Rattus norvegicus: one gene and its partner. The protein of the gene in region 1 interacts with the protein of each later gene in a biochemical or structural test. Links are inferred from orthologs where the notes say so. Each region holds a gene or a part of one and is shown in the gene's direction. Other genes may lie near its edges.

Evidence for each region.
Region 2: the proteins of Fgfr4 (region 1) and Fgf19 form a complex in vitro, tested with the Homo sapiens proteins (2 studies listed by BioGRID and IntAct). The link is inferred for Rattus norvegicus from reciprocal best matches to the Homo sapiens genes FGFR4 and FGF19.

Annotation. Positions count from the first base shown.
Region 1 is NC_086035.1:9,466,174-9,468,787, reverse strand, and holds the end of Fgfr4 (fibroblast growth factor receptor 4 precursor), read left to right. Parts: intron 1-208; coding exon 209-331; intron 332-438; coding exon 439-509; intron 510-747; coding exon 748-885; intron 886-1,166; coding exon 1,167-1,272; intron 1,273-1,388; coding exon 1,389-1,538; 3' UTR 1,539-2,102; downstream 2,103-2,614. UniProt on the Homo sapiens protein: Tyrosine-protein kinase that acts as a cell-surface receptor for fibroblast growth factors and plays a role in the regulation of cell proliferation, differentiation and migration, and in regulation of lipid metabolism, bile acid biosynthesis, glucose uptake, vitamin D metabolism and phosphate homeostasis.
Region 2 is NC_086019.1:209,484,657-209,488,612, forward strand, and holds the start of Fgf19 (fibroblast growth factor 19 precursor), read left to right. Parts: upstream 1-1,156; 5' UTR 1,157-1,286; coding exon 1,287-1,539; intron 1,540-1,721; coding exon 1,722-1,825; intron 1,826-3,956. UniProt on the Homo sapiens protein: Involved in the suppression of bile acid biosynthesis through down-regulation of CYP7A1 expression, following positive regulation of the JNK and ERK1/2 cascades. Stimulates glucose uptake in adipocytes. Activity requires the presence of KLB and FGFR4.

The DNA of each region.
Region 1 (2,614 bases):
CCCGAGGGCAAGCATGGTGTAGGCGTGGGCTCTGAACAAACCGTGCTTCTTTCTTTTTCTCTTTCTGGGCCTGGGGATTCAGCCCGGGCCTCTGCCCATTCCATTTCTCATCAGTTCGGGGGTTGAGTGACTCTGGCCCCTGGGCTTGCTGTGAAACGTTGAACTCCCAGACGTGTGTCCTGATTGATACTCCCTACCCTGTCCTCAGTGCATCCACCGGGACCTGGCTGCCCGAAACGTGCTGGTGACCGAGGATGACGTGATGAAGATCGCTGACTTTGGTCTGGCCCGTGGTGTCCACCACATCGACTACTATAAGAAAACCAGCAATGTGAGGGGCACCGCGGAGACACATGGGAGTGGGGCGGGGACTAGACCTGGTCTAAAAGGGATAGGTCCTGTACTACTCACACCACTGTCCCCTCCTCCTTCCTCCAGGGCCGCCTGCCAGTCAAGTGGATGGCTCCTGAGGCGTTGTTTGACCGTGTATACACACACCAGAGTGACGTGTGAGTCCGGGAACTGGGTTCTAAGATGGCTGCTGGATATCTTCAAGTTGTCCATCCCCTCTAAAAGGGCAATGCGCTTGCCAAAGTCATAAGATCTTAGGAGTTCCTCTGATACTCCTAAGGAAAGGAGTGCCCCTCCCTATCCCCAAGGGTGCATCGCGACTGCAGTAGCCTTTACCACAGCTTCAATGAGGAAGGAAGGAAGCTGGGCCCCACTGAGCTGCAGTTCTACCTCCAGGTGGTCCTTCGGGATCCTGCTGTGGGAAATCTTCACCCTCGGGGGCTCCCCATACCCCGGCATCCCAGTGGAGGAGCTGTTCTCACTGCTGCGAGAGGGGCACAGGATGGAGCGGCCCCCAAACTGCCCCTCAGAGCTGTAAGGTCACCCTCCTTGCCCCAGTGTCCAGACCTCATCCTGGGTCCTGACTTTGATGTCAGCTTTGACCCTGGCCATAGAGCAGTACTGTCTCCACTCCGGTTCCCTCTTCTTCCTCTCCACGGCTCACGGTGCCCTGGTCTTGTTCCTACTCTCCCATTAACCTGCCCTGCTTCTCCTGCCCAGCCCCCACACCCGCCGTGCCCGGAGCCCCAACCCTAGGGAGCCCACAGTCCTCACTTTGCCCGCCCTAGACATAAGTTTCTTTGACCCGTTCCCAGGTATGGGCTAATGAGGGAGTGTTGGCACGCAGCTCCTTCTCAGAGGCCGACTTTTAAGCAGCTGGTGGAAGCTCTGGACAAGGTCCTGCTGGCTGTCTCTGAAGAGGTACTGCCCATCCCCGCCCCATGCCCTCTCTCTGCCCGATCCCATGACCTAGGGACCTGACCATCTGAAGCATCCAGTCCCAGAGGCTGGAAGTTGAGCAGCTCTGTTCCTTGCAGTACCTTGACCTCCGCCTGACCTTTGGACCCTATTCCCCCAACAATGGGGATGCCAGCAGCACGTGCTCCTCCAGCGACTCGGTTTTCAGCCACGACCCTTTGCCCCTCGAGCCAAGCCCCTTCCCATTTCCTGAGGCGCAGACCACATGAGCCTGGGAACGATGTTGCATGGGCTCGTAGGCCCGTGGCCGTGGGACTCCAACCTGTTTCATCAGCATTTGACGTTGGCACTGTCATCAGGCCTCTGACTCGAGGCTACTGCTGGCCCAGATCCTCTCTCTGGCCCTGTTTTGGGGAGGCCCATTCTTGGTCTTGGGGTTCACAGTTGAGGCCTTCTGTTCCAAACTTATGTTCCCAGCTCAGAGTTCAACTCCTCGTCTCAAGATCATGGTCGTGCCCTTGGACTCATCCTCAAAGGAGCGAAGCATTAAGGCCTTGACACTTAGCCTCCACCCCAGGGGCTCTCCGGGCCTGACTGCAAATCTTTGGTCCTAAACATTTCTAGCTCCCCAAACAACCTAGAGGCCTCGGGACTTCACTGCACCCCCGCCCCCGCAGCCCACAAGCCTCGCCACCCTGGTCCCCAACTCCCCACTGCTTGTTCTAGCATCTTGTTGAAGGAGCCTCAGCTCTGGTGTCCTTGAGAGACGAGAAGCCTGTGGAAAAGACAGAAGAACAAGGCATTTTATAAATTATTATTATTTTTTGAAATAACTCTCTGTATGCCTGGTGTCTTCCCTGAGTGGCAGGGCGGATCGTGGGAAGACTCTCCATGTTGGGAGTTCGGTCTGGGTTACCCAGACGACTGGGGCGGGGGCGGGTGCCAGGCAGGCCTACAGCGGGCTTCCGCCTCCAGCCGTGCTAGCGCAGACTCCCAGGCAGAAACACACCCTTGCCTTTGTCCGTCCTACAGAATCAACCTTGTGTGTGCAGCGGTGAGTGGGTGCTCATGGGCAGACGAGCCCACACTGCACCATCTGTAAGGCAGGCCCCGTATCCTCTGTACACGCATACATGTTTGGCCCACAACTGTCCCCGAGGGAGCTGGCGTCCCCTCCCCCATCTGCTCAGCATTAACCAAACTGACCGTTAACACAGCACGGAAACGTGAAATCAAGCCTCCAGCCACTGCCTGCTCCCACGGTCTGGATCCGCCGGCTCAGGCTCAGGGCTTGTGGGGGCCGTGCCCGCCCTGCCTGGCCCTGGCCAGTCTCCCAGGCAGCAGC
Region 2 (3,956 bases), on another chromosome or scaffold:
TTGTAAAGGCTTTCCTGGTGACATTCTCCCAGAGCTCCGTCATTTATGCCAGTCACTGATGGCGTCTGAAAGTGGCGTGTTCCTCATTGAGATTCATCAGACCTGCCATTTTTCTGTTGTCCGGCCCCTGCAGACAGACCTCCCATCACCACGGAGCTAGGCCAGTACCTCTTTCCCCAAACCAGCTTGGGGGGGGGGGCACACCCAGGAGTTGGGGGATTGGAGGCATAATGAGAAAGGCTACGCGCTGAACCAAAGCCCCCTGCGAGGACCCTTTCTTCCAGGCCGGGGAATTCTCTGCAGGCTGCCTCCTTTCTTTGCAAGAGCGGCTCAAGGAGAGGCCCCCATTCTCCTCCCACCTGACCCACCGCCAGCAGCGTCCACCGTTGCTCCTAGCTGGCCCCCTCCTCACCGGTACGCAGCTGTCCCCCGCGCGCAGACTCAAGGGCCTGATCACCGACCCAAGAGGGGACGCCGCGACCTCCCCTGCCCTGCCTCTGCGCGCTGGTCAGCTCATCCTTCTCAAAGTCACAGCCCCAGTGACTCTCGCCTTGTGGAGTCCACGCGCGAGGCAAGCAGAGGACGCACAGAGAGCAGCTGGCAGCACAGTGGAGGCCGAAACTGGGGCTGAAGCGCCACCTAGTGAGCGCGACACACTCCCACTATGTCTTCACTGTGTAGGGCAAATATCCATGAATAGGGAGCCTAGGTCTGGGGCTGGAGAATGTGGGAGGATCCGATCTGCGAGAGCGTGCCAAAGAAGAGACCCAAGACTCAAAACGGGGGTGGGGGGTACGGAGGCAGAGCTCTGCGTGCCTTCTAAGTCTCTAATGACCGTCCCAAGCGCAGCCCTCTGAAAGCCCAGGGCCTTAAGACCTCAGTAATTAATCGTAACATTAAAATAGCCTATTCAATAACCATCAAGACACTGTGCATTTAACACTCCCCCCACCCCACCCCCGGCCTTGGTCACAAAGGGGGCTCCTCCACTGCTAGATCTGGCCTGCCTGGGCGGGGTCACTGGGATGGGGCTGAATGGGTGTGTGCGGGGGGCGGAGACTTGATGCAATTAGGAGGACTGCCTTGCTACTGCGGTCACCTACACCCGGGCCAGAGGGACGAAACGTATATAAGGCCGCGTGCCCGGAGCCGCAACGCCGTCGAAGCAGCAGCGCCCCGCGCTGCAAGCGCCCGATTGCTTTGTGGGCTGTGCCTGCCTTGCGAGTCCCTGCCGCGTCGCAGTCTCCGCGCCACCTTTGTAGCTGCCTTCACGACCCCGAGGTGCCATGGCGAGAAAGTGGAGTGGGCGTATTGTGGCCCGAGCTCTGGTCCTGGCCACTCTGTGGCTGGCCGTGTCTGGGCGTCCCCTGGTCCAGCAATCCCAGTCTGTGTCGGATGAAGGTCCACTCTTTCTCTATGGCTGGGGCAAGATTACCCGCCTGCAGTACCTGTACTCTGCTGGTCCCTACGTCTCCAACTGCTTCCTGCGTATCCGGAGTGACGGCTCTGTGGACTGCGAGGAGGACCAGAACGAACGAAGTGAGTATCCACCAGCGTGTCCCCTCGAGTCCCTTAGGATCTAGGAGCACGTGGATATGTCACCGTGGCTTTAACATCCTCCCACCCCTGACTTCTAGACTAAGCTGGGGAAGGACGAGGCAGTGTGACGCCGCTGTACCCACGTGTTGCTGGGCCCAGGCAACTTTTTCCTTCTCTTGCAGATCTGTTGGAGTTCCGCGCGGTTGCTCTGAAGACAATTGCCATCAAGGACGTCAGCAGCGTGCGGTACCTCTGCATGAGCGCCGACGGCAAGATATACGGGCTGGTGAGTGTTCCTCCACGCGGCGGGATGCTCCGGGCCGCGCTGGGTCCATATTTGTTTTTTTTTTTTTTCACCTCCTGTTCAGGCCCTAAAGGAACTTGAGGCAAGGTACCAATGATAGTGAGGCTAATGTTACTCTTGCCCGCCCTGCGCAAAGTGATGGCCCCAGGCGGCAGCGGGGAAATGGGGAGGTCAGTGGAGCTGTCTAATCCTCCAAAGGCTGGGCTGGCTGCTAAGTCCCATTCAGCTTTCGGTCCCTTTGATATTGAACCGGAAAACCTGCCTCTTCCGTTTTTCATCTCCAGGCTTTGCGTGTGTGGTCCTCGGTTTTCTCCTCTCCCTCAAGTTAAAAAGAAAACAAAAAACAAAACAAACAAACAACAACAAAAAAAAGGAAGGATCTTTATGTCCTAGGTACACAGTGTGATGTAAAATTTAGAAATACTTTAGAAAGTCCCCAAGATGCTCACCTGCTTGGGGCCTCGGGTAATTGGGGTGAGGCGTGCTGGCCACAATCAGGTAACCCCTGAAATCCAGAGACTTGAAGTATGTGGGCTAGTGCTTTGTAGGGACAGAGGCTGGGTGTTAAAAGAAGCCTTCAGCCCTACCTCTGGGGGTACTAGCAGAGGCTGTGTGAGGTCCCTTGGCCGAGGCCTCCCATCTAGCTCTGGGCTCCTGGGAGAAGCTGGGACCCCCTATGAGGATAGCTACAGGACTCAACCTTTTCGTCCTTCTGTTTAAGAGTCTCAAAATTGTTTGCAGCACTGAGGTTGATTTAGCTACATGAAAAGACCACAAAGAGAGGAAAGAGAGAAAGGATTCTGCAGAGAAAGGAGGAGGTCCTCTGCCTGGCTGAAAGCTGACCCAGACCCAAGCAAATCTCCTGCCAGTGTCTTCCCGTTATTTATGACAAGGGTGCTGAGCAGGGGGTCCGACCCCCATTCTGCACTAATGTAAATAGTATAGGAAGGCCCACGGGAGCTTTGACCCCCAATTCCAGTGTTGTCCTGGATCCGGTGGGCATAGTTCATCACCAACTCTCCTTTTTAAAAAATAGAAACCCCACAATCCATTGTTCCTATATTAAAAAAAGGGTAGTGGCCAGTTGTCCATATGAATTCTCCAAGAGAAATACATCCCATGTTTATCTACACAGTTTTCATGGAACATGGCCCCTGTCGTGTGGTGGCTCTGTCCTAGTGCCATCAGCCAGGGCAGGAGCAATGGGTTCTTGGAATTAGCCTGTTATCAGAGCCTTATCTGCCAACAGTCTCCACCTGCAGGTCAGTGACCTCGGCATGCATAGGCAGACACAGCCTGTGTTTTATTGAGCCATGTAGGCTCCCCAAGGGGCTGTGGCACCAGTCTAGGAGACTGCAACTGATACCTCAAGCCTAGGGACTAGGAATATTCTGGTACTGGGGATGAGGATCAGGGACAGCTTCCTACAGCACTCATTTCCGGCCACCCACAGGGTGTGGGCTTGGTCCCGGGCATGGGGGGAGGAGCTGCGGATTATCAGGCAGATCCTGGCTGGCTGCCTGTGAGGGGGCTTCTCCTCTCACAATGGTAGGAGACTCAACCACCTCAGCATTAGAAAAGCTCCCTGTGCTGCAGGTCTAGCAAGGAAGGATCACTCTATCCCTGGCCCCAGGCCAGGCTGCAGCTACTACCCAGAAAATGCAATCTAACTGGGATCAGAGTTTTGGAAAGCAGATAAATAGTGATCAGAACTTAAAGTCACTTGTTAAAGGCCAGAAGACTTGCACACTGCCAGCTTCTGCATGGATATGGCTCAGTTGGGGTGGATAATTGGTACAAACCAGGCGCGTTGGCACATACCAACCTTCTGGTAGCTGAGGCAGGAGGATCACTGAGAGGTAAAGCCCACAGAGTGATACCCTGTCTTAAACACGATGGGGCTGGGGAACTGAGTTCAGCTGGTGGAGTGGTTTGCCTAGCACGCTCAAAGCCCAGAGTTCAGTTGAGCACTACGTAAACCCAGCTCAGTGGAGCTCACTTGTCTGTCATCCCAGCACTTGGGAGGTGGAGGCAGGAGGATCAGGAGTTCAAAGTCAGCATGGTCCAGGAGGTACCTGTTTCAAAATGGAAATCCAGACCTAAAGTGGTTATA